Linked DNA regions of Drosophila melanogaster. The protein of the gene in region 2 interacts with the protein of the main gene of each other region in a pairwise test. Each region holds a gene or a part of one and is shown on either strand. Other genes may lie near its edges. The genes, in order: CG12609 and CG15533.

What was found.
Region 1: the proteins of CG15533 (region 2) and CG12609 interact in a two-hybrid assay, tested with the Drosophila melanogaster proteins (one large-scale study listed by BioGRID).

The regions. Positions count from the first base shown.
Region 1 is NC_004354.4:18,745,576-18,749,987, forward strand, and holds CG12609 (uncharacterized protein), read right to left. Parts: upstream 2,732-4,412; 5' UTR 2,691-2,731; coding exon 1,716-2,690; 3' UTR 1,357-1,715; intron 1,300-1,356; 3' UTR 792-1,299; downstream 1-791.
Region 2 is NT_033777.3:30,426,615-30,431,908, reverse strand, and holds CG15533 (uncharacterized protein), read right to left. Parts: upstream 3,090-5,294; 5' UTR 3,068-3,089; coding exon 2,031-3,067; intron 1,827-2,030; coding exon 1,106-1,826; intron 1,031-1,105; coding exon 881-1,030; intron 820-880; coding exon 649-819; 3' UTR 547-648; downstream 1-546. Other genes in the region: CG2218 (uncharacterized protein), read left to right, coding at 4,069-4,773, 5,095-5,294.

The DNA.
Region 1 (4,412 bases), on a different chromosome or scaffold from region 2:
GCAATTATTAAATGAATAGGGTATACGAATAGTGCTTACCCTGCAAATGGACTCTGTTCATCAAACTTTTTCGGTGAAGAATAGAACAAACAGAAGAAACCACAAAATTTACTTACAAGATTCATAGATAGCATTTGCTGTAGTTCATTGTTGTAGATACTTATCCGTGACCTAGCATGCTCCTCGATTCCCTGGCCATTTGCCAAGAAGAGGCGGAAATAATAAAATGCAAAAATATTATTTTTTAATTAAGTCATAATAGCAATGTCGAGCGCTAATCGGGGGCCCAGCGGCTCCTCCTCCCTTTACCGAATGCCGTGTGAATGCTAATGACCCGGGCGAAAGCCAAGAGGAGTAGAGCTGCTTCCTGGACGGATGGATGGATGCGGGGATGTGGACGGACTGGCGGGACGTGCTCACAGTTTTCGACAACGCGCACGCAGTTTGCATATTTTCACATCATTTTGCATTTGCCCAAGGACGAACCGAAGGCGCTGGTGGGTGTAGCATTGGGACAAGGACATTCAACGAATTCAGCACGACCAACGGAGCCGAAACAAGTGGATTCTGCCATGGTAACTAACATACAAATTACCCCGAAGTGGGTCGTCATCTAAACAGTAATTACATGTATCGAAGATACCCATCCTGACCGCCACGAAGTATGTATCTCTGCGGTCTTTGCGGTTGTGGTACCATTTTGCGGATATTCGTCACTCATTTAATCAATCAATTAATCAAAAGTTAGCGAGCAAAAGCCGGGGGATTGAAACGATTGAAAAGATAAGGCGAGCACTTAAGGGGTTTATTGGAAGAAATTAAATTAAATTTTCACGCTAATGAGCAACGCATCGGGCATCGGGGGGAAGTCGGAATTTGCGCTTAGGGATGTCGGATGGGGATGAGTCCTTTTGCCAGGCGGTTGTGTCTGTGGGGTTAAACTGTGTGCGTTGTGTAATTTCTTGAAGTAATTTCGGAATTTACTTTGACAGCCAAAAACTAATTTCGTCGGTGGTTTTTGGATTTGCGGCAAGAGTTCGCAACTTCGCTTTAGCATACAGACTGTGTTCGTCATCATCGTTCTGAAGTATTCATAAATCATAGCCGGACTCGGTGAGTTTGGGCCGTATCTTTCCGCCTCATTTGCCCAGCCAGACTCAAGAATTAATCAAACTTGAAATGGAGCCCTCAACACGCATTGGGGCGAAGTGAATGTCCTTCGGATTGTCAAACAGGTGGCTGCGGTGTATTCAGACATGTTGTCAATGGCACAATAGGTCAAATGGATGGCAAGTGTATCTAAAGGAAAGGAATATTTGGTAGAGCTAGTCATTCATATTTTCTATGCTTACTTACTTTTGACTGTTTTGATGGGCAGGTTGAAAAGAAGGTCATTGATTTTTGCTCTCCTAACTGCTGTTCATTTCTTTTGCTCCAGATAATTTCATATTTTCTTCATATTTCATTTGGCATGATCGACTAAAATTTGTACTATATTTTAACTACTTAATGTTAGTCCCCACTCTGCTTATTTGCTGCGTATTCATTTATCTTGACTATTGTAATGCATGAAGATTCAGGAATGTCTTGGCTTTTTGGAATCGTAAATTACCCTAATGAAGTACTTTCCCAGCTTGCCCTTGTCTGTGGTCCATAATCCTGTTTTAAACTTAACACAAGAAAAGCAATTTAGAAACATTGGTTAGAAACGTTGGCTAAAATATATCTGGAGTGGGTTCGTCGGGCTTCGAAGGAAGCGATAGCGTTGGCAACTTCTGGCAGCGATCGTGTCCAGGACGTAATGACCTTTGACCCGTGCGAACCTTCCAATGCATTTTGTACAGCTCCTCATCCTCCGACTGGCCATCGTTGGCCAGAGCATATTTTGCCATCCTGGAGGTCGTCGGCTGCTCACTGTCCAGATCCTTCTGGTTCATCTTGGTCTTGGATACGGAATCACCAGGACGTGCCTGCAATGTGGACAAAGTCTCTGAAAGATCTCCCACGGAGGTGTCCGACGAGCGATTGCCCAAATTCCGCTTCCAGATGATGTTTTGCTTAAAATCTGGGATTTTCAGACGCGGCCTGTCGAACGCCAGTGGCCCAACCTGCGCATCCATGCGCATCTTGACCATATCGGCGATTCTCTGGCCGGAACGATGGCTCTCCTTGCTGCTGGCATCAGTGGATTCCCTTTTGGTCATGGATTTCAAATTAAAGTCCGACCAAAGCTTCGCAAACCTCTCGGATCTTGGAATATTTTGTTTCTTGGCGTTTGCGTTAGATTGTTGGTTATCCGACTCCTCAGCTCCATCTTCCTGCTCCAGGAAAGCAAATCGATCAACGTAGTAGGGCTTCTCTGGCGGTTTTCCCTTGCCGGAAGTCATCTGATACTCGATCATCTGGAGTTTGTACACATTAAGTTGATACCGCATGTTGCGCATCCGGCAGCGTATGAATTCGGCACTAAGATGACTGCCCAGTTGGCTGGCAATCTTCTCCCATGAACTGCGCTTCATGTCCGCATCCTTGTACGCCGGCAGCGTGATCTTCCACAGGCACGGCTGCTCCCTGTAGAGGTCCACCAGGCGCAAATTGAATTCCTTCTCCTGACTGGAAGGCAGTGATGATGCAGCATGGCGCATGGCCAATAAACGCTTCTGGCGCTCGAGACGCTGTATTTCCATCATTTTGGAGCTGTTGTGTGGATGTGTCTATTGCTTGTCTATCCGGATGAACGAAGTGTATCCAGGGGCCTGCTCAGGTTGCTTTCATGGGGGAATCGATTGAATCCACCTTGAAATATTAGCTCTTAAAGTCTGTCAGCTGTTATTACGGATGCTGACGTCTTGGATACCAGGTAAGCTAGCAGCAAAAGGTTTAGCCTGCGACTGAGCCTGGCCAGGAATGCGTAACCGCTCGATGTCAGCACTCACATGCTTCAGTGCATCCGCATAATTTGTGCTCCGGGCAGGATGGGCGGCTCAAAAGGCAACAGAATGTTGCAACCGCATAGTTGCCCCGCCAGTTGGCAGGTGGAAGGGGCCAACGGAACAGACGGAGGCAAATGCGTCTCATGAAAGTTGCAACAAAGGACACGGCTTGCACTCACAAGTAAGTGGGTGGTGGTGGGCTGGGGCATGGATATACGAAGGGACATGGCACTTCAACGACAACAAAGCTCAGAAGGAAGCTCGCAAGTGCTGCCGGTTTATCCTTTTTTTTTTTTTTTTTTTTTGTATAGCTTGCCCTGCATCTCGCCGATAAATTCCCAAAATTCCTTAGTGTTTTGCAAATTTTCGGCAGAAATTTATCATCCGATTTCTAGCAATCTTTGCGAGTGACAACATTTATCTTTTGATAAAACCGATAAAGGTCAGGCATTTTGTTATAGTTGTAATTCCTTAAAGTTTCGGCATACGCTCAAATTCTAAGAACATCATGTTTATGAAATGGAATAGTTAGTTGTAAAATATTTTATCCCGAATAGTTTTATTTTTACCCGTCGAATGAGTACATCTCTACGACTCACATGATGGGTGGGCCACTTTAGTGATATTAAATCGCAGCTCAGGCCAAATCCGTCAACGTAAAGCCGTCCTGCTCCTTCTTCTGGGCCACCTTCTGATCCTGCTCCTGCTTCCATTGACATCTGCAGGATGCGTGTCCAATGACTACTCCTCGAATGCGGCCGGATTCCCTATTGGGTGGAACGGGTATTTAATTAATTTCGCCACCCAGACGCGGCTGAATGGATGGATGGATGGATGGTTGGCTGTGCCTCTGGTATATCCACGGATTGGAATGCGAATGCCAGAGATTGCGACATGGCGCTACGCCTTGTTCGTCAAATGCAAATATTACGCACTTTACGCCGAATTTGAATAAACAAAATGCGTGCCAATTAAACACCGGAGGGAATTGAAGCTCCGCATTTTGCAATTGTGCCGCCTAACGAACGTGAGTAATTAGGGCTGATTGGCGTTGGGAATCGCACGTTTGCATAATTCAACAATGAATATTGGACAAACCAACACAGTTTCGGGCACGATAGGGAACGGGAATGGAAATTGGAGGAGGGGGTTGCCATCAGACGGGAAAAACACGCAGCATTTGATTTGATCGCTTTGAGAAGGACTCCACTAATTGCCCACAGCTGGAAGAAAGTTTGTCGCTCAATGCGGCGGAAAAATACACGTGCAAAAACCAGGAGCCGTAATTTAATTGAGTTGGAAATACTATATTATATAATGATTATGAAATCTCTAATATAATGACTACTAAGGAATTAAATTACAATAATCATGCAAAGAAAATCTTCTTTGTTTTTCAAACCATTTTCTTGGCTTGAGTATTTAATAGGCTCTCGTTCTCTATTTAAATCGAACTATTTTTGCTATTCAATCCAATTT
Region 2 (5,294 bases):
TTGACCACTTTACAAAAGGGATGATATCTGACAGCTAAACTACTAATTACATTTACGGTCTGTAAAGTAGATGTATGAAACGATTATAAACTCATAGTGAAATGAAGAAGATCGAAAGCATCTATCCAATCGGTAGTATTTACACAGCTGACCTCGAGTTAGCCTAAGATTCCATTAAGTAGTTTTCTTACATATATCATTCATAACATTGTAACAATACAAGTTGTTATTAGGCTTGTAAGATCATACATTTTACAGAGTTTTTTTTTAAGTGTTTCCATTAGTGAGTCAGATCATGGCGCGATAATCGACATTTGATCACGATTCTGACCATAATCGGTGTGTCGTAAATTATTACCTAAAAGAATCGTGTGCACGTGCTTACACTTATCCGTAGTTCAATATTCGGCAAAAAAAAAACTGTAGCCAGCTGCTTGTTTTATGGCCAGCACGGTTTAATAAGCTAATTTTCGCTAATCGCCATTAGGCGATAAGGCAGCCGGCTGAAAAACAAAGTCCCTCCACAAAAATCATCCAGATTAGTTTCGATAGGGATAAGCGCATACTTCTATTTGCCACTTGAGAGCGGTTACTTTTAGAATGGAATCCATTCGGTTTATATAACTTAGGGGGTACAAATGAGGATTACTACAAGGCTAGGCGGATGGAGAGGACTATAGCCAGCAGGGAGCTAACGCTGAGCAGTCCCAAAGTGGAGGATCCTCCACCGTCGTTGTCATCGTTGCCCCCTGGGGTGCTGGGACTTGGGGTGGTGGCTTCAGTGCTTCCCGACGACGATGTGCTCTCCTCATTGTCCAGCTGAGGGAAGGGAATCATCACTTAGTTGTGGATCGAGAGATTTATCCAGAAAGTAACTTACCGAGGCAAACAACTTCTCACGCAGCTCCTCGCAGCGTTCTCGCTCGGAATTGATGGTCACAGCAGCTCGGCAAAGAGATCCTGCCAAGCAGCTGCGATCACAACCTCCATTCACCTGGGGATCTGCTGAGGTCACTCGGTAGCGCCAGTACTACAGATGAAACGGGTATTAATGATATGATATGGTGACCGTAAAGATGATATTCTTCAGATGATATTAACTTACCTTTCTCATCAATTCGGGATTCTCGGCGAACTCATCGAGCAGCTTGCTGATTCCGGCCGGACTCATATCTTCCGTGAACTCCTTGATGAACTCGTACTCCAGGAACCACTCGGGCTGTTCATCTGGCTTCAGATTGGCAGCAGTCAGGTTGTAAATCCACGTCCAGTGGTTGGTCACAGTGTAAGTTTCGGGATTGACGGCGTACTCTCGGTAGTTGGGGTTCTTGTTGGAGTAGGTGGTAACAGCACCTCCGTTCCACGCCACTGCGGTGGGGTGTCCTTCATCCTCCGAGTAGTAAACGAATAGCTCGTCCTTGTGCGAGTGTCCTGTGAAAATGCCACTGATTGTGGACCTGAAGCGGGATACGCAGCGGTTGAATTCCCGAGCCCAAACGGACCAGCAGGTTCCATCGCCCGAAGGAATGTGGGTCAGCACGTGGACATACTCCCCGTTCTTCTCGGCCTCCAACAGGGTATCGTGGAACCACTGGAGTTGGGGAATCTTGTCCGTGCCACTGTGATACAACCAGAAGTTGTCCGTATAGCAATCGTTGCTGTTTAGAGCGATGATACGGAAGCCCTTCCTGGGCACCACCGTGTAGTAACCTCCTTTAAGGATGGTTTCCTTGGTTTCAGCCGGCAGCCACTTGGACCAATCGTTGTACAGGTGCTCATAGAGCCACTTGGTGCTGATCTCATCTGGAACGCCCTCGGGACTGAAGCTGCAATAGTCCAATAGTCGAAATAGATAAGCGAATGAATTGAAAATAGTTGAAAACATAATAAATTATCGGGTGCTATGCAATGCGAAAATAAAGATAAGGATTATTAGTCCACTTATACATCCGGGATAATCTGAGATTAGGAATCCCAATTCATGCAATTTATAAATATCAAAATTTAGATTTTAAGGATCCCCTACTTACAGGTTGAGTGGATGAGGCTCGTGGTTTCCGATGCAGGGATATACGGGTACATCTCCGAAGGCCGCGTTTAGCCGCTCACTGACCTTGGTCAGCACCATGGTGTTCTTCTCCACGGAAGTGGCCCACACCATGTGGTCCACTATGTCGCCAGTCTGGTAAATGAAGTCGCACTTGGAGTTGGCCACCGCGTTGTCCAAGGCTGACTCGAAGGCGTGCCAAGGCAGATCGCAGTCCCGGTAGTCGCCCCAGTATCCAGCTGCATCCGACGTACCCTCGGTGGTCTCCTTGTTCCTCTGACAGCACATGGGTTCCGCACAAGTGGCCAGGCTGCCGGGGGTGTAGTAGGGATCATGGTGAATGTCGGAGAACTGGCAGATCCTGATGTCCGAGTCCTGAAAGGTGGGAGTGTCCGACTTGGGGCCAGCCGAAGCCTCTCCAGTATTGTCTATAGTCAAGGTCCAATTGTAATCTTGATTTGTACCGGTGTTACAGAAGTTAAACTCCATGAACAAGGAGCAGAAGCTCTGGGAATCACTCTCGGAGTTCCTCATGATGTACTCCACGGAGGGCAGGTTGGAATCGATCAATCCCTCGCAGACCTCCTCCGTTTGCAGATTCAAGCGGCGGCACACGTCCATAGCGAATTCCTTCATCAGAACGGAGCTATTCTCCCCGTGGAGCTCGCCGTCCTCCTCGCGAATGGTGCGAATCAAAACCCGCGTCACCGAGCGACAGGCCACGCACGCAAAGAAGCTATCCCTGGGCTCTAGATCGGGCATGTTCCTGGTGAATATATCCTTCTCACTGTGCGACTTGGCCAGCTGATTGGTGAGCTTCAAGAACTCCGCCGTCTCCACTCCGGTCTTCAGGAAGGTGATGTACTCCCTGGCCAGACGCTCGGCTATGTCGTCTGCAATGGCGGACAGGATGTGGTCGTCCAGGTCGAAGTCCACGGGCACTCCCGGCAAGTTTACGGCGGAGACCACCAGGAACCCGGAGGTCAAGGCGATCGCCAGCAGGATTCCGATTGCTTTCATGGTTCGCAGAGCAACTGGAGCATAGTTTCCACGTGTGGGGCCATTTATAGCTTTCGGTTATCTCTCAGCCAATGGCCACCCCATTAACCAGGCCGGAAAACGCATTCATGGCAGAGATTAGCCTAATCTCGAATAGTAGAACTTTTATATGATTATATTTTTGGCATGAGAAGTGGCCACAATCTGCCTCCGGTGGGGCAGATTTCTAAATAATCATATCGCAAAAATTACCATTTTTGACCATTCACCACAAATAGGCAATTAATAAGTCATATTACATATTTCGATATAACTTTCCCTTTTTAACTAGATACTTTATGATTCAAAGAAGCCAGAGCCTATAGTGTAAACTGATGAACCTTATCATATCTGCTTTGCTAATTTAAGTATAAATGATAAACAAAGTTCTTGAGATCGTTTTTGCTTATTGAACAAGAAATCAAATTAAGTATACACTTTTTCAAAATGTAAATGAATATAACTCAACCATAGCAATCGTGTTTTTCATTGTTTCATTCGAAACGAAACAGATTTCGAAAAGGCTTGCATTATACGTTGAAACAAATATTTTAACTCATTCAATTTTTGCCGCCCAAGCGAATAGGTGTTACCGTACGCGAGTACTGAGCGAAGTCCATCTGACTGGTCGCACCACCACTACCGCCCGGGCATGGTCACACTGCACAAGCGAGTGATTTATAAATATTCGAAGAGGCAGGGCGATAATTGCAATTGAAGCAGCGTTGTGAGATGCCAGCCGAAGTCCAGGCCAGGCTGTGAGTGTTCAGGATCGGCTGAGAGCAGGAGCGCACCCAGTGCGGGATTAGCAGGGGATTACCAGGCAGGATTAGCAGCCTCCGCAGGCAGACGCAACAACAAAAGATTCCCGAGAAGTGACGCCATTTTCATTGCGAATAAAGAGCAGGTGGGGCACAGAGTAGATATACGCCGTGAAGAGCCACATAACAGCAGCCGAGAGTATAGCACAGTGGGCAGCCAGGATGAGCAGTCTGATCAACTTCCTCAACCCAAAGCTTAAGCCCTCCGTAGAGACCGATGCCGTCTGCGAGGATGGCTACACTGCGGCCAATCTGGTGGCCGACGACGTCGAGCAGCTGGAGCGTGGATTCATGTGCTTCGCCGTCTGCAAGCCGCCCATAGAGATCGTATTCGACTTCCCCAAGGCGGTGGACATGAAGGTCATCAAGCTGTGGCCCTCCTGCGGAGCCCTACGATCCACTGCCTTCGAGCTGCATGGACGACACGATGGTATCTGGGAAAGGGTTGCCTTCGTACGCGATCTGGGGCGTGGCGTGGACTCGGTGACCTTCTGCTACCAGAGCGACTACAACTCACGGAGCAGCTCCAACTCGGAGCAGAGCGAGAAGGTGTTCTTCTTCAAGTCCGCCCACAAGATCCTTGCCAGCACAAACAGCGTCAAGGTGGTGATCCGGGCCACGGAAAGGTGTCCTCCAGTGCTGAGGAAAGTTCAGATGTGGGGACTGCCCGCTCGTTCGCTGGACAAAGCCGATCGCGAGCTGGTCAAGACCATCTGGAGCGAGATAAGCGATCCCTACGGCCAGAGGGACGCGGCCCAAACGCCCACCGGGCAGAGATCACCACCGCGGAATGTTCCAGAGCTCAGGGACCAGTCGACCCTCTCTATTCCTGAAGAGTTCCTCGACTCCATCACCTGGGAGCTAATGGTAAATATCAGAAAATCCTAGCTTTTTATGTTTAAGTAGTAGTACAACTGAATACATACCCATGTCAATTCATGAAATCAATCGTTTTGCACGGTTTTATTATTCATAATTCTTTATAATCTTTATGAATCAATTATCATGTCTTTATCAAAACCAAACAAGGTAAATATCGGAAGTCATGTAAAGAATTCATTTTCTTCATAATGAGAATTGCATTATAATGTCCGAAACGCAACAACACTTAAATATAAAGATAATAGGATGCTCTGTGAACTGTTTACTTTGTAGCTCTCCTTATCAATTCTCCCATTGCCTCTTCAGATCTTCCCCACCGTGCTGCCATCTGGAAAAGTGGTGGACCAGTCCACCATCGACAAGCACGCCGAGGAGGAGGCCAAGTGGGGTCGCCAGCCCTCGGATCCGTTTACAGGCCTGGAGTTCAATGCGCAACGCAAGGCGATTCTCCACCTGGCCCTAAAAGCGCGCATCGAGAAGTTCCTCATGGAGAATTCGGAGCACTT